Linked DNA regions of Drosophila melanogaster. The protein of the gene in region 1 interacts with the protein of each later gene in a pairwise test. Each region holds a gene or a part of one and is shown on either strand. Other genes may lie near its edges. The genes, in order: CG7945, rb, fest and CG3527.

Region 1 (6,788 bases):
TATGATAGGGTTTTTTTGTACTTTTACGCGAAGAAATACTCGTTAACATTAAGGTTATGTTAAAACTAAGCACTTAAGGTAGGTTCAGTTCACAGGAACCTTATCAATATCGCTAAAGTTCGACAAAAATAGCCTTATTATGATTTATTTATTATAGGTTATTATGGTGGTACAAAACAACCATTTTGTTGGTTTTAACTTTGATTTATTTTGAAAAATATAACAATCCAATTTTGGGTAATTTTAAGAGGAAACTGTGTCATGATTTCGATATTCTCCGATTGAAATTGGTAAGCTTTTTTTTTTTGGGACCACAAGTGAATAGAGAAACACTCCAATGCTGGTCCCCATTAATGCAGGTCGCCGATATATTCGGCGACACCCGATCCCAACTGCTGATGTAGACACTTTGGTGGACTTCTTGAACGGGCACTTACAACGTAAGCAGAGTTCTCTAGCCCTAAGCTCAGTCTGAATTCGCGTTTAAAGATGGTCACACATGGTGTCCTCGGCTTGGGATTTCTCATTGTTGGTCTAATTCTGGCCACGGACGCCTGGCTGTTATCCGAATCTGGTTTAAACGAATCCAGCTACAAAGTCCGTCATCTATCGATGCACTTTTCGCGAGTGTTTCTCAGCGTAAATGTAGAAAGCAACGATGCGCCCACTTTGATCGAGGCGCAATGGCCGGTTTCCTATTTTCCCATGCCCACTGTCGTCTTTCCCCACATCGATGTTCATTCCATGGGGGATCATGATGATTGCTCTCTGGTACAACAGGCACACTGGTCCCAGGTGGATGCACTGAGTCGACTGTGGGTCATGGACATCGGATTTCCCGGCAGCACGTGCTCACCCCGTTTGTTTGTCTTCGATCTGATGCGTAACAACGCGGAGCTATTGAGAATCGATTGTGGACACCATATAGGTGCTAATGACACCCACTTTCTGACTGTCCAAATGGGACCCAAGAGTCCGGGATGCGAGCACGAGCGCCATATTTACTTCATCCTTGGAAAGGTACCAGAAATTCTAGCCTACGACATCCTGGAGCAGACGTGGCACCGCCTATCCTTGGAGAGCAATAAGTACGAGAATATGAATCAATCGTTTCCCATCAAGCCAGTGGATTTCATCTTCGGAATTCAAGGGGAACTCATACTCTCCGACCAGGATGGTGATCTATACAGTACGGTGGACAGACTGGAAATTGAAGGCAAAAGCGAATTAGCAAGCAAACCAATTAACAATAGCATTAAACTCACACATTTGGGCAGTCTTCTGGGCAGCAGTCGCAGCATGATCATCGACAATTTCGGAACATTGTACTATGTTATCCCCAAATTCGGAGCTGTCGTACGATGTGCCAAACTAGCCAACATCACAGCCGAGGGCAACGAAATCATATATATCACATCGAAGAACATTCAGCAGATTTTCTTCACCTCCAATGATGCATTATGGGTCCTAAGTGATCGGGTCTTGAATGCGAAGGACATGTGCTTTCCTAGCTTATAACATTTAGTTTGTTAATATAAATATTAAAATTATATTTTACTTGATTCAAACACTGCTGGCCTGGTGTATATGCTGCTTTCTTTATTATTCGTTTCATCTAGCTTGGTGATGTATTTCGTTTGGTTTGATAATAATGCTATGAATAGTTAATAGACCAAAAAACAATTTAATTAATGGCTAACAGTTTGCTTATTCAGATAAGCCATTAAGGCCTGGAGCCGCTTCTTGATGTTCTTCTGATCGTCCAGAGTGCAGCCAAGCAAAACGCTCTCGAACTTCTTGTCGACCGGCCCAACATCGGCCTCGGGCACGGTGTCCATGTGTCCGGATGGATCCATTGAGCTGCTGCAGCAGGCGTTTAAGTAAAACTGGCATCGTTGGCGTCCGATCACGGGATCACCCATCTTGATCATGCTGTCAATCAATACATTTATCTGGCTAAGGGAATCCTCCTGAGAGTTGTCCCGAACAGTGCGCACACGCAGCTCCACGGTGGCCAAGCGAGAGCTCACCCGTTGTAGGTACAAAATGATCTCCTCTCGTTCAGCTGCAAAAGAAGGTGGTACAACATTAGCTCACAGTCAACTATGAATAACCCTTTACTTAGTTTGTCATCAGAAACCATTACTTCCGACTTCGAAATAATACACATTTTAGTAAAGCTATGAACAATGAGGGTTCAAATTAGTTTTAAGAATCACTGTCACTTACCTTCGCTCATGTTCTGCATCATTTCGTTGCTCTTGATCAGATCCATGGACATCAGAAGGTAGTCTTTCTTCTCCTGCAGGTTGAGTGCATCCTTGCGCAGCTTCTCCACACGTGCATCCAAACTATCCAGTATGGTGACAAATCTGCGAGTCACTCAAAGGTTAGTCACGCTCAGTGGTTATTATAAATTCAAGATTTACCTCTCGCTGGCGTTAAATGGTCTGTCACATGTCGGTTAAGTGTGATTGCGGTTCAGTGGTTAAGTCATGAAACGAGACAAGCAACGTTAGATTGTTAGATCGCTCTGCTACAGATCGACTGACCACTTATAGAGCTACGAAATTATAACCAGAATATGTCTACAAGAAAAGGCGCTCGCACACAAAGCTCTTTTGAGAGTTGTGTGGGCGTTCGCGGCAGATACTTTAAGCTATCACCATTACTATTATGGAACAAAAGATTCGAATGAAGCTGGTAGCTGGTAGTGTGAAGAAATAATAGATAAGAAACGTATAACTTTTGTTTCGCTACGAGGTTGTGTGAATATAATCGGTGGTATTGTTTTGGTTTCGTGTCTGATTTGGTTTTAGTTATGATGGAATAACAACCTGTCCAGAGCTCTACTATCGTCGACGAGTCCGTAGGAGCTGTTCCCGCCATTGCCACCACCTCCGGATCCGGATGGGGATGAGGAGGCCATGGCATCGGCCCTCAGGTCTTGCAAATGATCAAAATTCATGGATGCCTCCGAGTGGTAATCGCTGGGCGAGATCTGATGCAGCTGCTGGTGATAAGTACTATGGTGATGATGATGAGTGTCACTGGTTTCCTGCGTTGTTGGCGCATCAACTTCCATATCCTGCGGCTGCTCCAGATTTGATTTAAACCTGTCGCCCTCCAAAAAGCCGGTCAAGTGTTTGTCACCCAAGATGGTTGGATAGCTGCCTACTGTTTCGTTTTGGGTTTTGGTTTTATCTTATTTATTTTTTTTTAGCCGCTTTGCTGGCTACTTTTTTTGGAATGTCTTAAGCTTTTTTTTTCGAGTGGGTGTCGAAGTGTTTGATGCTGTTGCTTAAGCTTAATTTTATCTGTTTTTGCTTTGAAGCTGCAATAAGAGAGAAGAGGAAGCGTGAATGCGCAGAATTCAATTACCTATCTGAATGTGGGCTGTGAAAAGAGCCTTCGGTCCAGGAGGCGTCAAAGCCATCATTGGACTCGGGCGTATCGGCTTCTATATCTTCCGGATATCGGTTTATTATCTCCGCCTCCTGGGCGGGTTGCGGCGGCGGTGGCGGCGGTGTTGTGTCCGACTCGCAGCGACGCCGTTTCCGAAAAATACCTCGAAAATTCTCAAACATTCTCGGCTGAAATCACCAATTTTCTAGAAGATTACGCCTAATTCTTCTTCTTTTCTTGTGGCAACCGATGTCTAGGAGAATCCCCGGGTGGCTGTTTTGAACTTGAATAAATTACCTGCCGCCCGAGACTTGAGGCTCCGGTTTTAATGCACCTTTGGCCCGATGCAAAAATATTGTTGATTTTTCGAGTTGGGCAGTTTGAGTTAGATGACGGGAAATGCTTGTGTTTCCAGATAATTCGTAGACACCGATTAATCTAACTTTGTTAGCTTCATTTTTGAGCACCTGGGTTGTTTACTTCGAGGGTCAATCGAATATTTCGCTTTACTTAAATGAAGATAAGTATAAATATGATTAATTTAACATTATATTGTGGGATTTGTATGACCGTGTCTGACTACCGCAAAAAAGAACAGTGGCCATATAGTCAACTTTATCGAAACCGATTCATCGAACATTGTTGTCGAAAGTTAGTGTGTACACACATTAGTTCTGGTTTTCATCTGTAATCGGCGGGAGTTTTAAAAGTAGTAGTACTTTTAAAAGAAACCTCTCTAAAAGCATTTGGTATCTCCCAAAGTTCAAAAAATTGTATGCTACATATATTAAAACTTCTATTTTATTAGTGGTGCCAAATTTAAATCTCGCACACACTGAGCCGTGCGCGACCATTGACAACTTTTGGTGGCAATATCGAAGAAGTAATAGAAAGGACATTGCTGCAGGCTGGCGTGTCCTTTGACGCAGTAGATAAAGAACTCGCATCGCTGCATATGGGGATACAGATGCTGTCCGTAGGCGGGGCAGTGAATGAGATCACTCGAAATGGCGGTGCCACCGGATGGGAAACCGGAATTTCCATTCGTTGGCATATCCTCCTGACCACCTACGGTGCACTGGGCTCTCTCCGGAATATCGCATTTACCCGTCATTGCATTCCAGTGCAATTGCGAGCTGCACTCCTGCAAGATCGCCTGTCCATAGTAGCAAATATAGTACTTTCTGCAACTACTCGAGCTGCCGACATATACAATCCTGTCGCTGGATTGTTGTTGCTCCACCAACGTGGAGCAATAAGTGGCGGCATCCGTGACCATGTTATTCGGATCTCCATCACCATTTCCGCCATCGAATGGAGGAGTCTCTATGGGATCCGTTTCATTTCTGCACTTTACATTTGTCGCCGAATCGCAGAGTCTGCTCTCCGAATTGAAGAGCATCGTTGGTGGGCAGGAAGCCAGGACTGCATCCCCGTTCTCAACGCACAGGTAAAACATGTGGCAGTCCTCCGCATGCTCCACAAACTCACCAACCAAATGATTGGCACATATTCTACTACCACTCTGCCTGATGGTCACCGAGTTTGTGGGCTTCGATGGTCTCCAGGTTAATTGCGCTGTGGCCAGCAAGCAGTTCACGATCAAATAGAAAGCTGGAAACCAATAAATTCTCATCATACTATTAGTTTTGAGAATATCCATCTTACTAACCCGTATTAAGCATCATCGTTTTTTCTATCGTCAGACTCCAGTAGAGCGCAGTTATATTCTAATTTCGTAATGCCCGGTGAACTTGGCATATATGTGATACATTCGGCGCCAAGATACAGCCGCATATGTGGCTCAGTATCAGAAAATTAACATTTTCAATTGCTTGTAGGAAGAAGTTGATAAGACTCCTGTATTTTGTTTTGCCAAAAAAGAAATATGGCTCCCTTTCCTCGCAATCAATCGATATCGTATCTCGAAATGGCAAGCAGATACAACTTTAATGCTGGATTTTTAATTTTAAAGTCTGGTGAAAAGGAAGCCGAGATTAGCTAGGAAATTGATTAGGTGATATCACGATGACATATGTTGTCCTTGTGAGGAAAATCGTATCATATCGGTCAAATTACTATGTTTCAAATCGAAGGTTGGCCTATTTTGGCAAATGTTTCGATTCAAGGTCTTCATTTTGCAGAGATATGAAAGAATTGCTTGATATCACCTGATAAATTTAGGAAAGAGTCAAGGTCGGCCGTGTTGCTTGATAGTTTTACAAAGAAGTCTTATTGATTACCAGTATTTAGGTTTATTCCATATGTAAACATACAACACTTTATGTTCAATATTTTCAATTTTTCCACAAAGCTCGTTAATTAACTAAATGTAAAATTTCGTTTTTTTTTTTTAATAAATATTATTATGTGTATTTAATAAATTTTCATTTGCATTTGCAGCTTGTTGTAGCATTTGGCTTGACCTAGTGCTACACAGGATCGCTTCTCGTAGTCCCATCCGTAGAAGAAAGGACACTGCTGGACCATCAAATAGCCAGAGCGACACTGGTAAAAGTAATTGCAGTTGTCGGAATGCGGATAAACATCGATTACATGTCGCTTGCACTGCTCCCTGGGATTATAAGTCATGGCCTGTAAATAAATAATTTATTATACAAAAATTATAAGATATGAAGTACCATAGGTTAACCCACCAAACACCTAACGTTTTCGGGATGATCGCATTTTCCGGTGAGTGAATTAAAGTGCAAACTGGTGGCACAACTCATGGGAAGTGCCACACCGCGATAGCAAATGTAATAATCTGAACAGGAGTTCTGATTTGGCAGCAATGCGATACGACTCTGATTATCCAGTTGTGGGCACACATTGGTCACAATAATCTCTATAGCAGGCGATACGGAAGTCGTACTGCTGGCTCCACTTTGATTGACTGATGGTCGTAATGTGACCACTGCCGATGGGGCTAATGTGGTGATTACAACTGTGGAAATCGTACTGGACTCCGAGGTAATCTCCGTTGAGGAGCTGTCGGTAGTGTTTTCCCTTTGCACCTCCGATCCCGTGCGACAGTCGATATCGCCCATGGGCTCACACATTTCCATATCTTGACTAAAGTATTCGCCATCCTCGCATTCACCATCGTATGACTCATCGCCGTTGCAGAAGATATAATGTGCGCAACTCTTTGGCGAAGTAACAAAGGATAGGTTGTTACCATCGTTACACTCATCGAAAACATCCGCATGACTGGTGGCCAGAAATAGGAGGGACACCAGGATGGATCCAAACTTCAATACTCCAAACATCTTCTCAGCTCGATCTCGAATGGTAAACTGATCGATTGCGTATGCAAACTTTGGGGTTTTCTTACCACCTTTCGTTATCAGAAAATAATTTGCCCATGAACACGCCTTTGA
Region 2 (9,677 bases), on another chromosome or scaffold:
TAATGGTGCTTCCCCCCCAACTGGCGGTAATTTCGATGCGAACTCTTGCAGGTGTGGACGAGCTAATGGTCGAGGATGGGGAGCATTATCTTTACTGGTACAAGAAGCTCTAAGCACGCGGCCTTAGACGGAGCTGCAGTTTAACCCACTAAGCAAAGTCGATAAATACCCGGTGCTATTGGACTATATTTATTATATATATGGCCATAGTCACGTCTCACACACACACAACACACACGCAACAAGCAAAAAGGCACTTACACTCGCACAGGAATAGCTGTATGCTACACAGTACAGCTATTCCTGAGTAAGTGCATATATAACTGCATAATAATGGCGTAATCAAAAAAAAAAAACAAAGCAAAACAAAAAAAAAGGAAAAAAGAACACCCAAAACAATACACAGAAAATCACAAGAAAGAGTGAAAGATCGGTGAAAGGAGGTAAACTGTGGAAGCCCAGATTTCCAAGGGATAACTAGGATATAACACCATAATAGTTAATTGCTCTAGACCTCACAACTGATCTCGATTCGGAGCACCTCAGGCTAATACTTATGCATAACGATAACGATAATTAAAAAACAAAAAAAAAACGATAACAAACAAAAAGGAAGAGAGAGTGATAAAAACAAAAACTTAACGACTTAAATGCACTAACAACAGGCATCGAACGGTTAGCCGTTGACTAACGGTAGCAATCCGTCCGTTTTAGGCCCTCTCAATGCTTCGCTTCGCAGCTATCGATGCTTATCGATTATATAGTCTCGGTAATCGAGCCATAATCGAAAATATCGTTTGTGCGATAAGCGATAACTATTTCGTTGCCCATTTAAGACACCCAAAGATGAAAACCAAAACCAAACCAATGCTTTATATGTTATTGAAGTTAGAGAGTAGGGAAGGAAAGAACGATTTGAACGATCCGCCGGATCTAATAAATCTGAAGGTAGACAAAACGGGAGAGGTGGAGAAAGAGGCCATCGGGCTAGTCCAAGCGAAGCATGTTATACCAAACACCGTACGTAACAATAAGTGATTGAAAATCATCCTTAGACATACACACATACTGCATAAATCGATATATACATCTTGCATATACATTTAAAAGAAAGAAAACTAAACAAAACAAAAAAAAAATGGTAAAAAAAAAACTAGTTTTATATGAAGTTAAGCGAACGAAGGCCGTGGCATATTATATAACGTGTATACAGAATAGCGAAAACGAGAAGAGAACGATACTACCCCAGGACACTATATACAAACGCTCTACTATATGCCTGTCAAGAACTACTCACAACCCATTATTACAGCATACATATACCCATGCCATATTACCCAAAAATTACATTAATGCATACGTACATACTCGTACTATTCGTACATACATACATGCTATCTATCCCCTAATCATACATTATATAGCATCCCCAAAACCCTATATTTCTTCACTTATCACTCGGAACTTTCAAGCCGTTGATCTTAAAGCCTAGCCTAACCGAAAACTACAACTACTAAAACTACTACTTGAGATCTTTAAGTGCAGCAGCGAATCCAAAACTAAACTAAACATTACTAACCTAGCGATCTAACTAACTCGTTTATATTGATAAGCATGAAATTGAGCTTTTTAATTGTGCAGAACCCAAATTAGAACACAAGGAAATACAGCTACAACTACACCGACACCGACACCTAAAACACAGTTGGATTTGGAGAAAGCAGCGTAGGATTTGAGGAATGAGTTATGTATGTTCTATAACCCAGCATGTCAGTATGTCCAACCTCCTTCTATAATTTCCCACGGAGCTATTTTGAAGCAATCCCGACTTTCAAGCGACAGCAGCAGGAAATTGATACATAAATGCAGAAATCAACTCGAATTTTAAGGAATTGAACTAATTAGAATTCGATTCGATTCTTTTGCATTTGAAAGTTTGTCCTTGCTGACTTCTTATATTCTGTTTGGTGAGTGGAGAAAGTAACAAGAACAAGCGTGAATAAACATCAAAATAATTGAAAACTTTTGAAAAAAGCATTTTTACTTGACATGTGCGAGCGTGTATTAAACTTGATTCGTTTATCCAAAACAGGTAAGACGTTCTCAATTTTAAAATGTAAGCTTTTATTTCAGCTTTTCAATGCGGAGATTCAGCTTATTTGTTTCAGGCATATTAACAGATTGATTTGTTTCTTTATTAGAATACGTTTCATTTGTTCACTTTAATTTGCCAGAATTTGCGCTGTTTATTGTATGAATATAATATATAATATATAGATTCGATATTCGTTTGTCTTTGCTACGTTTTGAAGAAGGCCGCATAGAGCACGAAGGCAACAGATTTACAACATCAAACACTTTACAAATACGTTTCGATTACTCATACACACATTACACACACGCCTAGCTAAGTAGGATGGATTGGAGGATAGGATTTGTTTGGATCGGCAACGATTCGAGTTCAATCAATTGTAACATCTCATTTCATCTGGAATTGTTTGTGGTTGCAGTTTGTATATAGGAATATTAAAAGCGTTAGGATCATGTTTCATTTATATTTGGGCGGGGCGGTTGGTAATCCTTGAATAATTTTCGATTTGGATATGAAAGCTACACTAATCTCATGTTGTGTTCATCCATTCATAAAAGGAAATGGTGACTCTTTTATGCAAAATATCTCAGTATAAGCGGATACAAATATATAGGAAGTTGTGTGTTTCCCATTTCAATAAGTTTCATTAAGAATTTGCGAATGTGTATAACAATAAATATAGTTTTGTAGCATTTACACAATAGTTTGCATCACTTTTCATTCAGTTTTCAACAAGTTAAAGAATATGTAATAATTACAGTTGAAATTGCAATTTAAATTAGTTTTGGATTTCGATCCCACTTGAACACTTAAGTTGCATCTGTTACACTGCACATTTACATATAATCTCTCGAAAATGGAATTTAAAACACCTGTAATCTCAGCTAATGTTATCAGCTAATTTCAAAGATTACGTTCTCCCCGCCCGTTTACAAGTGTATAGCTAAATATGAATGCTATGTTTACGTAGTGAGGCGGCTTTGCCTTATTCTCAGTTGAGTAGCCCTGCTCCAGGGGATTCCACTCCTCAAGTTAGTTCGCTGCTCGCTTTCGTCTTGTTCGCTTTCGTGTCCATCGCTCACATGGCGAAACTGAGCTGCAGAGCATTGCGCAGCTCGTTGAGCACCATGGATCCAATGACCATTTTCTCGCAGTTTACCAGCAGCGTGAGGGCATCCTCTGTTTTCCAATCGAGGGTGAGTAGCACGAGGCTTTTGGAGCTCAGGGTTTGGCCGGCGAAACAGTGTAGCTGACCGCTGGAAGAGCTGTGCGTATGCGCCACGTTGATGGACTCGAAAACCTTTTGCCGCAATGCGACCACATCGATTAGGTCCTGCCTCAGGCCACGCAACTCGCACTGATGCTCATTCATTCCACGCAGCTTGGCCCGCTCCTCGCGATGACAGCTCTCGCCGATCTGGACGGATCTCACCAGCTCGCCCACCGGCGGTTTCAATTGCAGTCGTGAACTGCCCGCACTTGACAGAAGCTCCAGGTCTACAGCATGCGTCGAATCATTGAAATCGACGCCCAGCACACCACTCGCTGTTTGTTGGGGCTGGAGAACAGTGATTGGCGCAAACTCATTCAATTGCATGCCCGCCGGCAGAGTTGTTTGCCCGAGACGAATGGCCGTAATCTCTTTTTCGCCACGATTCTGGAACTGCAGCTCAATGGAGCACATGCTCGAGGAGTACAGATGCGGGGAGCGGGTGAAACGGTAGGCCAAATGCAGTCCATGGCCACTGACCTTGTTAAGCAGCTCCTTGTGCTTGAACTCGATGTGCGAGGGACCCACCAATTCCACCCGATTGCGGGCGTGCTGCGGCTGCAGTGGCGCCGCCTGTCCAGCCATCATTGGTGTGCCTATTGAAGAATTATTATATAAAGAGGCCAATTTAGAGATGCGCATCACCTTACCAGGCGTCAGGAATCCTCCCAACGAGGGCGTCATCACGGGACCAATGGGCGGAATGTCATCCAGATCGAGTAGCAGGTCCAGATTGCTCTTGACAGCCGTTTGCTCCGGCTGTTTCTCGTGCTTCTCTTTCAACTTCTCCGGCTTTGTGCCTGTGTCCGTTTTCGTTTCGTTCTTTTTCACTTCATTATCGCTACCGGAAGCGCTGTCATCACTACTACTGCCACTGTACGCTGATGAATCCTCGCTGTCCGATGTTCCTGACGAACCTCTCGCATTGTTATTGTTGTTTATAGTTGCTTTTACAGGCGAAGAAGTAGCGGCCAGCTCATTGCTTCCAGCATCGATAAGCCGCTCCTTCACCGAGGAAACCTTGGTCGGCTGCTGCTTTTGCACCTCCTCCTCCTCCTCATCGCTGCTCCCGCTGCCATCGCTATCGGATTCACTGTCGCTGGTGCCACTGCCACTGCTGCTGCCTGATTCCGAGTAAGCGGAAGACTTGTCGTCCGACTCAGAGAGGAAGCCCTTCTCGCCACCAGCACCCTTTTCCTTACCGCCTTCACGGCCGGATTTATCCTTTGAATGTCCGGATGGCGAGTCTTCACCCGGCAGCTTGTCCTGCATAAATCCAGCTATATTGCGTACCGATGAATCCGGTGGAATCACCGGAAAGGCGGGCAGTTCCTTGTAGCCAGCCGCTGGCATGTTCAGGTAGTGAGACAACGATCCTAACTGGAAGTTATTGCCATCCCGGTATTTACTCTCCGGCACCGGAGCCGGTTTGCTGGCGAGAAATACTTGGCGGGCATGCTGGCTGAGCACCGAGCTCGTTCCGCTCGCCGGAAAGATGATTTGCCGCAGAAAACGGGCACGATCGCGTACATCGTAGTTGGGATCATAGCGAGCCAGCGTAAAGACGTACTGACACAGCAACGATGTCTGCTCCGGATTGGTCAGATAGAGCTTAACGCCTAAGTTTAGGACCTGCAGCTTCACCACATCCTGCTCATCGACAAACGATTTGGCCATTTTGCGCAGCACATCCGGGGCAATCAGCGGCACCTTCTCGTTGTATTCGCCTATAAGCCAAATGATGGCTGCCCTAGCTGCGGGCACATTGATATAATCGATCAGTTTGGCCATTTGGGTGATAATCTCAAAGTGCTCGGCGGCTTTCGTTTGCAGAAGACGCTTAATCACCACCACGCTCTCGGCCACCACGTGTTCTAAATGGAATAACGGAATACTTATAAAATTAAAATACAAATGGCTAAAAGAAAGCTTAACGCACCGTCATGATTGGACAGCAGATGAACCAGGCCACTCAAGCAGGTCTCGGTAACCTCCTTAATGCTAGATGCACATCGTCCAATGGCCTGAATCGTGGCCGCCACAAACGAACGATCGCTGCTGGAGATGTAGGTTTGAAATTCGCGCAGAATGAGCGAAATACTGCCCGCCGAGGCCAGATTGGTGAGAATATCCAGCTTGAGAAGCTTTATGTGCGTGGGATCGCTGGTGCGCACAAAGAACGACTTGAGGTGCGGCTCAAAGATCGCCTTTCGTTTGGTGGACATCGAGGCAATGCAATTGAGGACCACGCTCTGAACCTCCTTATGCGATCGCAGCAGTCGTATCAGCGCCTTGGCAATCAATTGCACTTCGTTCTTGGGAGCCACATGATGATAGAGCTGCGCCACTGCCATCACCACGGAGGCATTTCGCGATTGGAGCAATGGTTTCGTTTGCCTCAACAGCAGGCGGTGATCCACATCGATGTGGTAGCTGTTGCTCGGAGAACTGGGTGTTCTACTGCCATTTCCTCCGCCATTGTTTTTATTGTTCGTACTCGACTTGTTTTTTTCGTCATCGCTACTGCCATCATCGCTGTGGGAAGAGGAGTGCGAGGATTCGTCGTAGAAGCGTTCACTAACGGGCGTTTCGCCCAGGCCATCGTTGACCAGATCCTCATCATCCGCATTGGGATCAACGAACTGAGTGCGCGCATAGCGGGTCAACATATTAATGATGATCACCTGACCCCATTCGTCCACATCCAGCAGGAAATTGCACAGCTTGCGGTAGTTCTTGTGTATCAAATCTACACGTTCCGGACAAACCTACGAATAAAGATCCGTCGTATATAGAGGATAAATGTTTTACTTTAGCTGCAGACCCACCTCGTCGAAGGCCATCACCGCTGATCCCACCACTAGAGTAGTGCGATCCGATAAAAGCTTCTCAATGACCATGACCAGTTCATCCTTTTGATCCGCGTCCAGAGAATACAACTTGGGGATGGCATGTGCCGCTGTTTTCCGCACATATGGACTCAAATCGGCGGCGCTATCCCGAATGGCCAGCATTACGATTGGCACAATCATGCTGACCCTTATGGAGGATAACACTCGCAGAGCCGAGGCGCGAATAAGTTGATTGGGATCCTTGAGCGCCCTCTGAAATGTGGAAATGGATAGCAGGGCCAAGTCCTGCTGCTCCTCGGCGTATCGCACCAAATAGACGTAGACCAACTTCTTGACCTCGATATTCTTGGACACCACATTCTTGACGACTGCCGGGAACAGATCACTGGCATCCCGTCCGCGGGCAATCATGCCAATGATGCGCTTCATGGCCTCCAGCTTTAGTCCATCCTTGTTGCTGTCCAACATTTGCTTGAGATCATCATGCTTGCGTCCATCGGATTGGAAGAAAGCTGCTCCGCTGGCAGGATCCGCTCCGAATTCGACGTCCAGTCCCATTTGGGGCCGCTCCACATATGTGGACATGGCGAAGGGATTGCTGGCCGAGTTCTGCTGCATTCTTGCAAAGATTCCCCCGGATTACCCAGATTTCGGTTGACCACTTGACCTTTTACTTTCCGTGCTGATGATTTTTTTTTTCCTTTTTTTTTGTGTGTGGGAGTTGGCAGTTTTCCCTTTCGGTTTTTGCAAATGCGTCCAATGTGAAACCTTTGTTCCTGATGTTGAATCCTCAAGACGATCTGGTGGTCAGCTGCTCGTCCTGCCACGCAGCTTGCAAGTTTTGCAAGGGATACTATTATTTATGCCGAAATTCTGGCCAATTTTTGCATTTTTTTTTTTAGCTTTCTGTTTCCTAATGGTGGGCAACTGTCGATAGTCGCCGATTAACACATAGCACAAAAATACTAGAACACTTTAACTAACTGTGATGGAATGCACCAAGAGTTTTTCATATAGGTACGCACATAAATAAAGTAATGTATTAGTTACGATATCCAATACTTTAACCGAAACATTTCGCGGCATTCATGTTGCTTTTGAATTTTTATGAGTTGTGAGTTTTTTGTAGTGATCCGTTAAAAATTCGGTATCGCGTGTCGCGTGCACCTATCGATGCCGAATCTATCGGAAACTGCTGTTCTTCGATATGCCCTATTTGTCTACATCTATCGGAGTATATCGAATCGACTACAACTACGTGGCTGCAGTGCGTTTAATAGCGATTAAAACCAGGCCAAAAGTACTAAGACAAACGATGGAATCGACACTCGCCAAGGTGCTGCTCCTTGTGGGCAGCCTGCTGATCCTGTGCCGCACCAGCCACGCCTTCATCGTCAGCGTGGACGCCCACAATGAGGAGTGCTTCTTCGAGAACGTCGAAGGCGGCACCAAGTTTGGTACGTGAGCGATATGGATTTTCGGTCAATTGACAAGGGATCTATGCTGATAAAATGATGGTGACTTTACAGGCGTCACCTTCGAGGTGATCGACGGTGGCTTCCTAGACGTGGACATCAAGATCAGCGGCCCGGATAACCATGTGATGCACGAGAGCGAAAAGGAGTCGTCCGGCAAGTACACCTTTGTGGCCCCCGCCAAGGGAACCTACACCGTGTGCTTCAACAACGAACGCAGCAGCATGACCCCCAAGCTGGTCATGTTCTCCATCGACGTGGGTGACGCACCGCAACGTGCGCCCGGAGCACCCGGCGAGGAGGAGGTGGGCCACACCAAGCTGGAGGACATGATTCGGGAGCTCTCCGGCACGCTGACCAGTGTCAAGCACGAACAGGAGTACATGCATGTGAGTGAAGAGACGAGGTGAAGATGGAGCATCCAGCTGCCACATAATCATGATTGGGGGTTTTGGAAGAGTTTAACATGTAGCAGAATTAGGGGTACATGGAATATGGGAGCAATCGAGTAACTATTGCCACATAGTCTGGCATGCCTCCAGCATTACTTGTACAGATCCACGTCGCAAGATTTAAGAGCGGAGTCGGTAGACTTGTTCGAGGGAATGGAGCTGCTAGCTGCCACATAAACAATAACTAGTAGCGATTTTCAAACACTCATGTTTTCACCATCGGTTATAATCAGTATTGACATTATTTGTGAAGTAATCCACGACTAATCCTCCAATTTCTTTACTCCCTCAGGTGCGCGACAAGATCCATCGTTCGGTGAACGAGAACACCAACTCGCGAGTGGTGCTGTGGTCCACCTTCGAAGCCCTCGTCCTGGTCCTGATGACAGTGGGCCAGGTGTACTACCTGAAACGCTTCTTCGAGGTCAAGCGCGTCGTGTAATCCCGAGCGGAAAACCAGGATGGAAGTAGCAAAGGAAGGCGGCACACGAAGCTCTGGGGGAAATGTGTGCGCAATGCGTTGCAGTCTCAGATTTAATTTAAATGATTAACATCCTTTTGTAATTTAAATAAAATACCTTGTAAAAAGTAATTAGTGCTTGAAAGTATGTCGATCATGTTTCTGTTTCGAGAATTATTAACAGAGATTGCTATATTAGAGAAATTAATATATATATTTTTTTTTAATTACCAAATATCTCTTAATGGAAACAGAACAGCAAATATTTTCAGACACACATTCAAGGGGGGAAGAGACACTTGTGAACTTTCGAACTAAATTGATAAGAACCATTTGTTTTCTAATAAATGTAGGTTGACAAGAGAAAAGTTTGTTTGCAACTTCGAAATGGAAATGGATTCTATAATAATTTCGAAATATCTGAATGGAAATAAAACAACTTTTCAGAAGCTATATTAAATTCGTTTCAAATCTTTTTGAGTGTTGGGTAGTTAATGTGACAGTGGAAATAAGTTATTAAATCTGACGTCGGTGTGCAGCACTGGATCGTCCAGTGACAGTTGACATATATTCCTATCAGCGGCGAACTTTTTTGTCCGGACTCCTAAAAGTGACTCCAAAAAGTGCGATGAGATCTTTTCTTTATATGCTCTCCCAACGTCCCAAATTGGCATGTTTGTGCGGAAAATCTATTATCATATGGCCTGGTAAACGTACAAATCTGCCGGAAAATGCTTTCACTCAGCGGATGCTTCAAGAATGTGGCCAAATGGCAAAGCCGGACGCTTCGGTGGATCTCGATAATTTCAAAGCTATTTCGGAGCAGTCTCCCGCCGAGGTATACTCATTGGAATTGGTTTCGCAAAATTGTCTTCTGACATTGATATAATCCCCCCACATTAGTTTGGCATCGATTCCTGCCGAGTGAAGGCACAGCCGGAAGATCGAAGTGACCGCATACGGGAACAAATCGCATCCGCCTATCCGGTGATTCACGAACGGACCCTCCTACTCTTTATCAGCTTCTTAGAGCACAAGCTCACGTTCGGTGGGTACAATCACAATCGAAAGAATTT
Region 3 (8,337 bases), on another chromosome or scaffold:
AGTTTAATTACTTCTGATGAAGCAGACGTTTTAGAGTGCCCCAATCTACCTTCGAATGAATTCTATTCATGAATAATTTATGAATTGTGTCATGATATTGGCAAGCAGCATTTTTGTCATTGATATACGATATATACTTGAAACATGTCGTTCACAATCACCCTTTCGCCAATGCCATGTTGCGTTTATGGGTTTTTGGGGGCTAACAGCTCCGCCAAGGAGAAAACATCCATTGGGGACCACTCACTTTGAACTCCCGCTCAGCTCAGGTGGCTGGTCTGATTGATTTGATTGCTGTCACCTCAGGCTTACGCATCCGAACATAGAGATTCGGATGAAGTGCTCACCATGACAGATGGAGTTACTCAAATTCGTATGTATTTTGCGTTTATCTTGCCGGTTGAATTTAAGCCTCTTATCCGCAGGGGTAAATATTCATAATTTTTCATTTACCCCCCGTGGGCCATTCGTTTCCCATTAAATTAAACGAAGCTGAATTTTCACGCAGTACGAATGGGTGTATCCTTTACTGTCTGCCGTCTGTTCAGTTTTGGGATTTTCCTGGGTAAATCGGTTAAAATGCAATTATCGTCGGCAGTTGCAGTGTTGCAATGCGATGGCTCTTTCATTTCGACGGAAATCGAATTGATTTGCTGCATGACCACAGAAGAAGACAGGTGAAACGAATCCATGCGACGATTTATGGCCAGGAATTAAGCCTCATTGAATTTGTATTAATGTGAACGTAATACCGGTGGAGCGAGACTCGCATAATTGAAGAGCCCATTAAATGGTAAAATATAAAAATTGATGTCTTGCCTATCCAGCCCATTCCAACTTTTGTCGGAAATTGAATTTGATAAACTTTCTAAAGGCAAAAGGCGGAAGAAGAGAGGAGTTTCTAGGCAGCAATTAGTCCTTTTTGAGAGGATGTCGATGGGTGGTGAGGAGTGGGGTGGGGGTGGCTTGGGCTTGAGTTTGGGGTTTTGGGTGGAAAACTCGGTCAGATGAGATGCTACGTGCCATGCGTCAGCTGGAAAAATGGGAACCAAAAAGTTTGTTTATGCTTAGACTTTTTGGCCGGGTTCTCAAATTCGGGACCATATAGCACCGGAGCTCTGGCTTCGACTGCTGCTGTCATTCAAGTGTTTTAATCAATTCTGATTTAATTTTACGCCCAATTAAGTGTGAAAAGCGTTTGATGTTGAGCACGGGTGCGAGAGGCAAATGGCACCGTATACGCCCCCCGTTCCCATCCAACGGATTTTTCCGACCAAGTCACGCAAGCGTGAGCATTGAATATGCCATATGTGTGTGTGTGGGTCTCGCCCTTTATGGCTCCCTAGCTGCTGAGCCACATAACCTCGGATTCAGGATTCAGCCGGGTTCGGGTTGCTGGGTTCGGTTAGCGACTTTATTTAATACGCAGCACTAGAGTAAACGCATTTTTAGATGTTTGTATCCGCCTGAGCTGGAGACACTCACCATCACCGCCGCTTGAGTATCCTTGCCTTGTGGCTTCCGCACCTGCCCATGCTCACCGCCTCGCTTACGCTCACCCGCCATTTCTCTCTGTGTACCCGCTAACCATGGAACCACTTTCTTCCTATGACAGAGTCAGCCGTGGCATATAGTTCCGCCCCAGCATTATCCACTAATCTCTATCAACAGCCACTGCCAACGGGCCGCTCCTCCGGCTCCAACTCCAGGTTAAGTCTGTTGGAGAGCTTGGTCTGCATGACTGCCGATCCCATATCGTTGTGCTTTTGGATTTGTTTGCAGGTAAACATGAAGACCTCTCATCTTTTATAATATTTGTATATGAAAACCTTTTTTGGCAAACATTCAATTACTTTTAAACGTGCAATTCATTCCTTTAAATATTTACATAGCTCGCAAACTCTTTAAGCCCGAAAAGATTTCAAGTCCTGATGGCCCTTCAGGTGCCACAACTCCTCCAACAGGGTTGTAATGTGAATTGTAGTCGTTAAGCAATTTTCTTGTACTTTTACAATGCCAGAGGAAAGGTATGAGGTCATATATGGTTGCCAGGAGCCGCTGAAAATTGTATCTCGATCCAGATTTAACCCATGAGAATTAACAAAATTATACGAATCTATTACAGTAGCGCAGATAGAATTTACTTTATTCAGGACTTTCATGTATTACTTTTTGACATCGATTTTTGTGCACATAAATTTCGATATACATGAGGATTAAATTTAGAGTTTTGAAGATTGTTGTTGTAAGGCTACACAGGTATAATTGCAAGGCGTTTCACTTTTTTTTTTTTAAGGAATGGTGTTTAAAAGTGTGCACGTGTTTTAACTTTGTTTTCAAAGACGACTGCCTTTTTCAGATAAGCGTTTGTTTCGTAAGCTAATTAATTGTATTCCATTTCAGTCACAATTTCTCACTTTGGCCTGTCGTGTGTGTGTGTGTGTGTGTGTGCTTGTGCATGTGTGCGTGTATCTGTATTCCACGAGTGTGGTAGTGGTACTATTCCGTCTACACTTGGAAATTTAAGCACTAAGTCCACTCATTTTACATTTTACGCAACGTTTGCGCTGTAGAGTGTGTGTGTGTTGTGTGAGGATGAACATGGTTGGATTGTAGTAACTTAACTAATCTTAACTGGTAACTTAGAACTAACTGAATTGTCACTGGTGTTACGTTGGCCAAAGCAGCCGTCGTTTGTTAGCTAATTTTTTATCATGCAGAGGCTAATTTTGATATCAGCGATTTTATCAATTTTTGCTTATTTTTTTTTTTTTGTGGAAATTTTGCAACTTTCGATTTTCAATCTTGCTGAATTTGTTGCATTTCAAGTACGTGTCGAACGTTTAAAAAATCGTTGGAAACTTAATTTTGCTATACTGTGAGGGCCGAAAAGAAGCGAAACGCGAACCAAGTTCATTCTTTTTATAACACCAAACGCTGGCCCTGATCGAAATAGCATTGTCTTGGCCAGCGTTTCAGGCAACAGGTGGATTTTCCAGAGCCTATTCCACCTGAATTGCCTGTACTAAATAACGGTATGCGTATAAAAACAAGGATATCGAGGGCTAGAGAGATTGTAAGTGTGATTATCTAAAACTAATTCCCTAGTGTTTGCGTTGCGCCTACGTCGAGCAATCGAAAAGCAATCCTTCAAGGATCAGGATCGCCAGTTTTCGTTGCTCGCGCATTTTTTCGAGCTGTTTCATCTTAAATGCAGTTATACATTTATAATTTTTTTTGTTTAGAAGACCAGGTTTTCTTAAATGATCTGATCCCTCTCCACGCCGAGGCCCCAGTTTTCCAATGTTGTTTTGTTTGGATTTTTTGATTTTTTTTTTTGGGGGGGTCACTATATCGACGCTTGAGTCGGTTTGCGTGTGTGTGTTTTCTGTGATGTGTGTGTGGTGGTGGTATAATGGGGTGATTTTCGATTGCCCACGCTGGGTGGCTATAGGTGGCATTTGGATGGCCACCCAACGCGATGCACATCCCATGGTGCGAGCGGTACTTAGTAGACAATGAGCAGGTTGTTTTCATTGAATCCAGCCGAGTGACCAGCATTGCGTACAATGAAACAGGATCCGTCGAAGTGCATGCGCTTCTCATTACGACTGCAAAAAAAAAAAGAACAAAAGGAATCTTCAAATATCCGATTAACTGAATTACTGCAAAAGTATGGAATCAATTAAACACTATCAGTGTTATAATCGAATAAATATACGACGAGAACAATGCATTCTTCGAGTGCATCATTATTGCAAATAGGTGTGGATGCAGTGGCCAACTCACCGGACGAACAGGTGCGAGGTCTTGCCCAACGAAGCCGTGCAGTGGATGCCGGTGGTGGTCAGGGTGGCGGATCCATTGCCCGGACTGGTGCGAATCAGGCACTTGCTGTGCTGGCGGCTGACCTTGACCAGGCCGTCGGCCGCCTGGGTGATGCGGAATCCATTGATGTCATACACCTCGGTGCCGTCCTCGGCGCAATTGTAGGTGGAGTTGGCGATTACGTCGTGGGCATCGGACACAAAGGATGGGCCGTGGCGCGAATCGCTGGAGGGTGTTGTTAATTGGAAAGAGGAGCTTGGCGAATTGATTTGGGCAAATTTCGTGCTTAACTCACTCATAGAACACCGCCAAGGTGTAGTCCTTGGTCAGGTCGGTGAAGGTATCGGTGGTGGTGCGAGTGCCAGCTGTGTCCACCAGATAGATGAGGGCACAGGACTCGCTGGTGAAGCTAACGCCCTTGTACCACATTTTGGCATAGCGACTGGAAGAAAATGATTGCAGCTATAGTTGCATAGATTTTATACGAAAATCTAATGAGAAGTACAAGTTTAAATTCCAAAATACTAGTTGTTTGCCACTCTTAAAGTAAAGGTTCGATTCTACTTCTAAGCTTACACAAAGTTGTTGGCCTTCATTCCGTCGTAGGTGACGATCTCCACCTTGGAGCCGCTCTGCAAGATGCGCCCATTGGGATGGATGAGGGCAGAGTTGCTGCAGTTGCGCGATAAGGCGGCGGCAACCATGCTGCGCTGATTCAGCACACGGACAGCCTTGTCCAGGGTCATGTCAATGCTGGAATCGGGAATGATTTGGAATGATGATCAAGGGATAAATCTCCTACCACGTTCACTTACCGAACGCCCTCGCGCAGGCGCAACTGGATGGTGCCATTGGACATGGCAATCGGTCCAGATCCTGGACACGGTGGTGGTGTGTTGTTCTCGAACTCAAAAGTGCGCGAGCTGACGCGATCCATAGCAAAAGGTGGTGGTGGCATTGGCGATGGGAACTGCTGGGTGTGATGTGCCTGTGGCTAGGTAGATATCGCATATTTCTAAAATACGAAACACGGGGCAATAAATCAAAGCACTTACCATGCAGTAGGCTCCATCCACCTCATAGCCATAGCCAGAGTTGAAGCGTCCCGTTAGACTCTTGCCGCTGCGCGTAATATTGCCGGCATCCATGTTCCAGCCCATGGTCTCGTAGCCGGCACCAGATTGCGGCAGGACTCCGAAGCCCGAGTGGGAAGATGCGTGCATGCCCATATTCATGTAGCTGCGGCCGCAGCTGTTTGTCTGGCTGGAGCACTCCTTGGCCAGGACGGAGGTGCTGGTGCCCACGCTGGCGCTGTTGCCCATGCTGCTGCTGCTGTTGCCGCGCTCCAAGCCGCGCTTCACTCCGCCAGTCAGCGAAAGGCTGCTCATACGTGGAGCCAATGGGCTGTTCATCGATGACACAAAGCGCATGGTGGCTTGCTAGGGATTGGTAAGGGAAAAGGTATCACATGGTACATCAAAGATCACTTGCAAAAAATGGGAAGAAAAGATGACTTGCAAAAAATGCTAAGAAAATATGACTTGCAAAAATGACTTGCAAAAATCAAAGAGACGATTTTTTGCATATGCCTTCAAAATGAAGGCAATCCTATGGAGAAGTGACAACTCTACTCACCGGCGATGGGTTGTTGTTGGTGAATACGGAACGCTGGCGCACACCATTTGGAGCCTTGGTGGGCGAGCGCAAGATGTTATTGATCTTGTCGTTCAACTGGGCGCGGGACAAGAAGTCCTCGGCATTGAAGATGCCAACGCGGCCGCTCTTGGGCGTGGCCAAGGGGGCGGGGCCCGGTAGAGCCAGCTCCTCGACATGGGGCTCATCCAGGGCGCCGGAGTGCTGGCACTGCACCTCCTTGGTGCTGCTGGTCTTAGGTGCAACGGTGTCCTGGGCGTCGGTAACCATTTTGTCAAGATTCGATTGTTCAAAATTTATGGGAAAACCGTATGGAATCGAATGGGTGATGGATGATGGTGTTGTTGTTCTTGGTTGAAACGGGGCCTGGACTTTGGTATGTGGATCTAAACGAGAACGGCACACGCGGCGTGCTGGACAGCGAAAATCAAAGTACTCTGCTCGACACGGAACACAACGACTCAATGAGAGGAATTTAATTTTTTACTTTTTATGACTTTTCAAGAGCACTGCTCGCTGCGACAATTTTCGAAAGAATGACTTGCCTCAAGTGCCGATGGAAGGATGTGCCATCAATTCTGACACTCACTGGCCTACCGGGTTTTTCGATAGTTGAAAGTGTCGTAATATCGAGTACACGATACTTTACTTTTCCCTTCGTCCCTTTGAAGCCCTGGCACTTTTAGATTTCCCGTGAAAGTTCAACGTATATCCGATTAGTGCTGCATACTTTTAGACGGCAAAAAGCTGATTGAATTCAAAATAACGCATTTAAGGACGACACTGTAGTGCAACCCATCTCCTCGCTTTTAGTGGCCGGAAAACGAAGTTTCGCCTTCGTAATTGAATCGAGAAATAGACTTGAACACACGCACAGCAGTGCAGCTTCCAGCAATTTATTGCCGCTCATTTGTATAGTTTCTACGCAGCTATAAGCTGCAGCAAAAGACTTAGGCTTTAAGATTTATTGGGAAACTGCATTTTCCGAACGGGAGAAAGTGCAAGAGAAAGTGCCGTCATTCTTATCGATGCTGGTTAAATGCTGAACAAGTGCGCAGAGTTGCAAAGTTTTGAAGCGTTGGCAGGAAATGTCAAGAGTCAGATAAAAGTGATGTTTGCACGTAGCACAGTTTAGTACTTTGCTAATAAAAAGCTATCCCCTTCTAAATTGTTGCTTTAACGTGGCTTAAATATGTTGTCAAAGTCAAACAATCACGCAATTTAAATGTATTATACATTCAACTGAAACTTTTAAATTGACATATTAAATAAGAACTGGCATTTAAAGTTTCTGCGAAATGTAAACTGCTCTTATAGAACTTTCCAGTCGAACAGCTACAAATTTTTGGATTATTTCTTAATGAATAAACACTAAAATCATAATATATTTTAGTAATAGCTGCTCAATCGTTTTTCTTGTCAGTTATTAGCCATTTTATTTGCCTGAATGTTGACATATTAGCCACAATTTTGGCAAACCCCCAAGGTCGTTTTATTTCCATTTTTGTGGGTTCACTAACTCACCTTCAGTGTGCAAAGTCCCTGAACTTCCGGAACTATTGTGTTTTTTGTATACGACTGTCAACTCTTTCCGCTCTCATGATTGATTTTGCCTCTTGATTTCAGTTTTTTCTTGCGCGGATTAGTTTGTTTAATGAGCGCATTGACTCCTTGCATTTGGCCATCGGCCCACGCAGATTTAGATTGACACTTTCGCCATCATATCTATTTAAATGGACGCGTTTATTTAGACACTTGGCTGGCATATTTTTTAAATTTTATTTTTGGCACTTGGTCGGATCATTAAAATTCAGCCACTGCAGCTGCAATTCCGCCCACGCATCGCATTGACTCAGTTTTGAGCAACACCAACTGAAAGTGAAAATGTGTAATATATTTATAGCAGGAATGCAATCGCATATGCATTCAATGAAATACGGAAACTCATTTGTAAAAATCACCCCGTCCACCGAAGTGATTTTTCCGTTGTCACTTTCGCCAGCCGCAAGTGAAACAAATTGGTTAACCTCCTTTTTCAGTATTTATCGTTAAAAATATTCGCAAATATTCAGACAGCTGAAAATTCAGATTTTCAGCGAGCGTCGTTGGAATAGTTTGCTAAATTTTGAATTCAAGTTGTAATTACGCTCGTTTTGTAAAGGCAAAGGCACATTTGATATGAAAACTAAAAGGAGAACATCAGCCAAATGAATAGAGAAAATTCGCTATTACTTGCCGAAGCTCGTTAAAATGTGGAAAACTATTTTCGCCTTCTGCAGTCAGTGAACTTTGGCGCAGACAAAGATCATAAAATCCATACTAGTGTAGCGGCTATATATAGAAAGTGCATAGGACTCCGACTTGGCCAGTGTTGCAATCTTTGACGTCACCGTTCGCGTGAGTGGCAGTGCCAGTGGTAGTGGTGACCACTCAGATTGATGAGAAACTTATGGCATAATTGAAATGGCTTTTAAAATCCATTTGTTCAGCGCCTTCTTCCTTATTAAATCCTTAGCAATTTTCATTAAAAACAATTAGCGCCAACGACGCCACTTGCCTTTGTCGACAATACCAGCCCCTTCAGTTTCTACTGGGGGGCAGGAGGTGCTCGGGAATTGAATGGACTGGGTTGGAATCGGTTGGGATGGGACGGGATGGAAATTAATTGATTGTCAAGATGAGGCAACGGCAACCGAGCTGTGTAAACAAATAAATGTGTCTGGTCATTCAGCGGGAGATCTTTGTTGTCGCCTCTAGATGATAATGCCGCCCCGCTGTCAGCTATGGAATTACACTCACCCACTATATATATATATATATATATATATATATATATATATACAGATATTCCGAATC
Region 4 (5,583 bases), on another chromosome or scaffold:
TCCAAAATCGGGATATTTTTTAGTGAGATTATATACAGATAGATAGCAGGTGAAGGGCAAGGAAATTATATATGTATTTAATTTCCAATGTATACAAATATTTTATATTTTAGAATTACAATGATAAACAAAAAATCATAAAACTAAAGAGTTTATCCCAAAGTTACTTGCAATGCTCAGAAACTACGCTAAGTAGGCTCCTATTCAAAGTGCTAGTCAAGCGAAGTGAGCAAAAAAAAAAAAAAATAAGCAAATTCAAAAAATTAAACAACCAAAGACATTTTCGAATTTCCCGCTTTGTTTTGAAACGGTTATGGAAGCGGTTAATTACCGAGTACAGCAAACTTGAACACTTGAGGGCGCCAGGCGTGATACGGTATTACCATTCGTGTTATTTATGCGGTATTACTATGCAGTGAATGCACGGGCGCACTTTTGACCGGCACTGTACAACACTGTGAATAGTGCAAAAAAATTTTTTACAACGTGATTAAATATAGATAATTTTCGAAACATAAACGGACCGTAAGAATCCGTTAACGTAGCCAGAGTAAAAGCTCTAGATACAAGCACATCGGACATACAGGAGGAGAGACCTGCGAATACCCGGGAAACCGTAAGGATCAGTCCATAAATCATCATGCCACGAGGAAAGTTCGTCAACCACAAAGGTCGCAGTCGCCATTTCACATCTCCCGAGGAACTGCAACAGGAATCGGAGGAGGATAGCGACCAGACCAGCGGCTCGGGATCAGATAGCGACGATAAAGACGCTGCCGGCGGCAAAGCCAGTTCCTCTGCGTCCAAAGCCAAGGCACCCGCCACACGTAAAGCGCCCGTGAATCGCAATCAAAAGTCTCGATCAGCGGCGGGCGCCGGTGCGGCAAGTTCCTCGGAATCGGAGTCTGGCGAGGATTCCGACGATGACTCCGAAGCGGAAGCGCGCGATGCCAAGAAGGGCGTGGCCTCACTCATCGAAATCGAGAATCCCAACCGGGTGACCAAGAAGGCCACACAAAAGCTATCGGCCATCAAGCTGGACGACGGGCCAGCCGGTGCCGGCGGTAATCCCAAGCCGGAGCTTTCTCGCCGCGAACGCGAACAGATCGAAAAGCAGAGAGCGCGCCAGCGTTACGAGAAACTCCATGCTGCTGGTAAAACCACCGAGGCTAAGGCCGATCTGGCCAGATTGGCTTTGATCCGGCAGCAGCGCGAGGAGGCGGCCGCCAAGCGGGAGGCGGAAAAGAAGGCAGCCGATGTGGGCACCAAAAAGCCGGGTGCCAAGTAGATAATCCATCCCTTTTGAAACCTTCCCTTTCCCATGTGGGATTTAATAGAGCTCTCAATCGTGCAACGTATACAAAATTCGCAATAATCCTTTTGATGAACAGTGCAATTAGTTAAGCATAAATTACCGCAAACATACCTTCAAAATTATGCAAGTTTTCTAAGCCTATCTTTTGTAACTGCAATTAACATAAATAAACCAACTAATTGTAAAAACAGAGAAAGTGCGTGTGTTTCGTGATGATTAATTAGGATCCCAGATTATATTATAACTATATATATAAGCGTCTTTGTATGTTCTAAACTTTAAGAAAGATGAAAATAGTATTCTGGTCTGGATATTCCACCAAATTTTAATGGAAGGCAATCAAAAGAATAATATGTAGACTAACTACTAGCTATGACTAAACTAAGAAAAACAATGCTTTGGACTTGGATTATACCACGCCCCAAACCTCCTCGAAGGCGGAACAGATTTTGGAGCACGCGATGGCCGCCGAAAGTGGATAGTTGCTAATGGAGAACAGCTCCTCCGTGTAGTCCGTTTTGAGAACGCCATGTGCGAAGGCTCCAATAACGATGACCACCGGCTCATCATAGCTGGCCGACGTCTCGTCACCATGTGGCACCAGATCCCGGCAATTGGGCAATAGTTTGCCAGAGAAGCTCATGGCGTACTTCTTGCAACCGACCGGCACATGATCCGTAATCGGATTCTTAATGACACTCATCAGACGACGTGAGGAGTCATTGGCGCGAATTTGGAACTTGTGCAGCAATTGCACCATTAGGCCAGCAAAGCGTTTAAATGTCCTCGGGATGCGCGTCTGGGGATTGATTTCGATAAGCACATTATGCTCGGTGCGCACAAAGACCTGAAGCAGACCGGCCCGGTTCAGTGGCGAATCGAAGAGCATCAACAGGCACTGGTGGGTGATGTCCGGACGACAGGAGCCGGGATCTCTTTGGTTTTTGCGCATAATTCCCGCGTGATCGTCGCAGTTCAGCAGCTCGAAAGTGTTGTGCACCTGCAGCAATGGAAATATGTATTTATATATATATATATATATGTATGGAAGGATGATGACCCACCTTCACCGTCTCCAGTTGGGCTCCTTCCAAAACGATGATCAGCCGCTTTTCGGTGGCATTCAGATGGAGCACCTTGAATTGCTTCTTGTCCAGATCGAACTCCGGATCGTCCGCCTTGCGACCGACAAACTTACGCTTCCTATTGATCGCCTTGCCCTGACCGCCCATATCGTAAAAGTAGTTGTATATGGTTAAAAACAATTCCGAAATTATTCTTAAGAAATCCGCACGTTTTTCGAAATGCACAAGTTCAGTATGACCTTGTTGCGGGCTCCCTTAAATACCCAACTTAAATAGTATGGCATATGTTTTTCAGTATTAAAAACAACGAATGCATTTGCTTGGGTCTGGTCACACGACGGCGAGTTTGTTTATTTTTTGTTTGCATTTGGATTACCGGATCCTTGTCGTCCTCCTGGTTTTGCAATCCTACAAGATGCGCCTGTGCCCGCTGGCGTTCGCCGTGCTGCTTGGCCTTTTTCACCTGATCCAGGCCTGCAATCATTGGGTTCTTCGCGAGGAGCAGATCGTGCCCAAACTGGACTCTCCATTCCACATGCGTGAACCCCACAATCTGGCGGCATTTCTCAAGCAGATCAGGTACAGTGAGTATGTGGAGCGCTCCTATCTGGATCTGCTGCGCAAGCGGGAACAGATTGTGGAGCACCTACGATTTTCGATGCGTTTCGGTGAGGATCTGGCCGAGCAGGCCAAGTGCGCCATGGACTACTACATGCTGGAGAAGCGAATGTCTTACCTGAAAATTACGCCAGAGCAGTTGAAAAGGATTAATCTTCCGGACCAGAGGCAATTGCACATACAGAAGAGCGCATCCTCGATGGGAATGGAGCCGATATGCAGCGATTACCATCGATTAAGCGTGGGTCCAGCCACCTATGATCATCTGGAGAGTTTTCGGCCCGAGGTCCTGGCCGCTGCCTTTCTGGAGCGCGAGCATGACACCAATGTGGGCATGGCCACCGTGGAATTGACCCGGCGATTTGCGGTGGACGGATTGCAGCATCATCCGGCCTCCTGGAAGTTCCACACCCTAAGCTCGTACTATTGGCGCATGCGAGGAAATGCCCGGGAAGCCCTGCCCTGTGCCAGATTGGCTGCCTTGCTGGCTCCGCCGATCTTTAAGGATATACCCCTGCTGAGTCTGGGTACCATACTCTTTCGAATGGGTCGACTGGCCGATGCCGATCTGATATTGACCGCTGCGGTGGAACATGCTCCTAATGTGGCCGAGAATCATGTGGTCCTGGCCTCTGCACTGGCCATGAAACACGACTTTAATCGATCACTGCAGCACTTCGACGAAGCCGAGCGACTGGATCCCAGCACATTGCCGAGAACACAGCAGGTGCGAAACTTTATAAGTTGCCTAGAGAACCTAACGAAGAAAACCTCCAAGATGTATAGCTATGTGAAGTACATGCAGAACGAGGTGAAGGAGTTCAAGAAGCTGAAGCATCACATCTCTCAGAATCACGAGAGATTGATCCAACAGCAGCTGCCATTGGGAGCGAGACGTCTGCTTGGCCTGGACGCCAAAACCAACAACGATGATCTCCATCGAAGGGGTCAATACTGCAGCACGAGGACGCCGAATGGTTCAGATGAACCGGTGTTGTTTTGTGACTTCTATTCGGACATGCAAATGCGATTGGAGAGCAAGGATGTGGACATTGATGTGCTGGAACGGGATCTAAAGGCCAATACGGATGCGGTCATTCGCCAGGTGTCCACCGAAATCCGGAAACAGTTCAATTTGGAGCAGCTTAAGGCGGCCAAGGCCCAAATGCCTGCGAAGGCGACAAAGGCTACATAGTAATGATTGCCATTACAAACAGATGGACTGGCACATTCCCTTCACAAAGCAACCAAATATTTTTGGTCACAAAATAGCTTGTACGATTAATCTGTTCTTAATTAGTATTTAGGTATGTGTGCAAGAGACGTGTGCGAGTGTGTGTGTGTGTGTGTATAGGATAAGTTTTCAGGTATAGTTTTATCAGGCTTTATACACGGAAATGTTCGAAAGGAGGAGGTTCTTTCGATGCATAATACAGCATCGTTATGTCACTTTAATTAATAATATCTTTTAATGAATATTTAAACAACGACTTTTTCACATTCGATAAGAAATAAGCTTTGAATTGTATTCAACTAAGAACTCTTTTGTTTATTTCTGTTTTCAGACAGCTTATTTTTATATTTGTTATATTATGTTTTATATTTGTCCAAAACCTCCTACCTCGAATTTCCCAAAAAAATATCATTAAGATCGCGTATTTATATTTACCACTAGTTTTACATTCAGTTATGTTATCTTAATGCAAAAAAAAAAGGAAATCTACAAAAATAACAACAGCCATTATCCAATCGAAGAACTGCAGGTTCCCGAGAGGAGTTTCTTTGGTGGATTACCATCGGATTGGTTGGGTTTTTAAGGCCTCCAACAGACTGGAAAGACTGGCAAAAGAATGGGGATTGTCAGCGTTGCTCACAAGCAAACCGCTCCAGCCGCAATTCCGGGCACCTTCATAGTCCATATCCAACTTGTTGCCAATGTGAAGGGCCTGCTCCGCTGGAATTTGCAATCTCTGCAGCGGAATTTCGAAGATACCGCGTTCGGGCTTCATAACACCGGCTTCGTAGGAAGTCAGAATGAAATCGAATTTGCCGGCAAAGCCCATGGCGTCCAGGACTTGTGGCAGTGACGAATCGAAATTGGAGATGATGCCCACACATTTGCCGGCATTTCGGACGTTCTGCACCAACTCCTGGGCACCATTCACGTGACTCCAACAGGCGCTGGTCCGAAAAACGGAAATTAGCCGCTGGCCGATCTTCTCCAGCTTCTCGGGCGCCAGACCGTGGTCCACGCAGCTAAAGGTTCGAGCCACCAGCTGAAGCCACCAACGCTGCCAATCCAATCCCGGCGAGTAACGGCCAAAGTTTGGATGTTCGCTGCTCATCGCCTTGAATTGCTGGCGAAAGCATTGTTCCAATCGGCGGCGATCCACTCCGGTGACCCCGAACTCCTCTGCCGTCTGATGGTACTGGCGAAGGGGATCCTCCAGGCGAAGCAGCGTGTCCGTTACATCGAAGGTCACCAGGCGAAAGCGTTTCAAATTCGCAACAAATTGCGAAGTCAACGACATTTTGGCCAACAGTGTGGTATTGTTTGTCCACTAG

The links.
Region 2: the proteins of CG7945 (region 1) and rb interact in a two-hybrid assay, tested with the Drosophila melanogaster proteins (one large-scale study listed by BioGRID).
Region 3: the proteins of CG7945 (region 1) and fest interact in a two-hybrid assay, tested with the Drosophila melanogaster proteins (one large-scale study listed by BioGRID).
Region 4: the proteins of CG7945 (region 1) and CG3527 interact in a two-hybrid assay, tested with the Drosophila melanogaster proteins (one large-scale study listed by BioGRID).

Annotation. Positions count from the first base shown.
Region 1 is NT_037436.4:15,520,131-15,526,918, forward strand, and holds CG7945 (uncharacterized protein), read right to left. Parts: upstream 4,008-6,788; 5' UTR 3,703-4,007; exon of another isoform or gene 3,588-3,702; coding exon of another isoform or gene 3,382-3,587; intron 3,335-3,381; 5' UTR 3,086-3,334; coding exon 2,838-3,085; intron 2,451-2,837; coding exon 2,430-2,450; intron 2,373-2,429; coding exon 2,230-2,372; intron 2,066-2,229; coding exon 1,689-2,065; 3' UTR 1,581-1,688; downstream 1-1,580. Other genes in the region: yellow-k, read left to right, coding at 490-1,518; CG33986 (uncharacterized protein), read right to left, coding at 4,202-5,019, 5,078-5,093; CG33985 (uncharacterized protein), read right to left, coding at 5,782-6,000, 6,063-6,677.
Region 2 is NC_004354.4:4,533,474-4,543,150, forward strand, and holds rb (ruby), read right to left. Parts: upstream 7,154-9,677; 5' UTR 6,833-7,153; coding exon 6,191-6,832; intron 6,131-6,190; coding exon 5,302-6,130; intron 5,237-5,301; coding exon 4,013-5,236; intron 3,959-4,012; coding exon 3,171-3,958; 3' UTR 2,162-3,170; downstream 1-2,161. Other genes in the region: CG3556 (uncharacterized protein), read left to right, coding at 52-113; CHOp24, read left to right, coding at 7,530-7,671, 7,744-8,078, 8,434-8,583; CG3568 (uncharacterized protein), read left to right, coding at 9,230-9,439, 9,505-9,649.
Region 3 is NT_033778.4:19,339,498-19,347,834, reverse strand, and holds fest (wurstfest), read right to left. Parts: upstream 6,027-8,337; 5' UTR 5,752-6,026; coding exon 5,464-5,751; intron 5,268-5,463; coding exon 4,884-5,267; intron 4,823-4,883; coding exon 4,644-4,822; intron 4,582-4,643; coding exon 4,405-4,581; intron 4,271-4,404; coding exon 4,124-4,270; intron 4,054-4,123; coding exon 3,790-4,053; intron 3,612-3,789; coding exon 3,509-3,611; 3' UTR 2,081-3,508; downstream 1-2,080. Other genes in the region: Rgk1 (Rad, Gem/Kir family member 1), read left to right, coding at 1,738-1,782.
Region 4 is NC_004354.4:4,549,040-4,554,622, reverse strand, and holds CG3527 (uncharacterized protein), read right to left. Parts: upstream 2,651-5,583; 5' UTR 2,548-2,650; coding exon 2,380-2,547; intron 2,316-2,379; coding exon 1,725-2,315; 3' UTR 1,617-1,724; downstream 1-1,616. Other genes in the region: CG11444 (uncharacterized protein), read left to right, coding at 641-1,288; CG11436 (uncharacterized protein), read left to right, coding at 2,816-4,213; CG15912 (uncharacterized protein), read right to left, coding at 4,809-5,549. UniProt on the Drosophila melanogaster protein: S-adenosyl-L-methionine-dependent pseudouridine N(1)-methyltransferase that methylates a pseudouridine in 18S rRNA.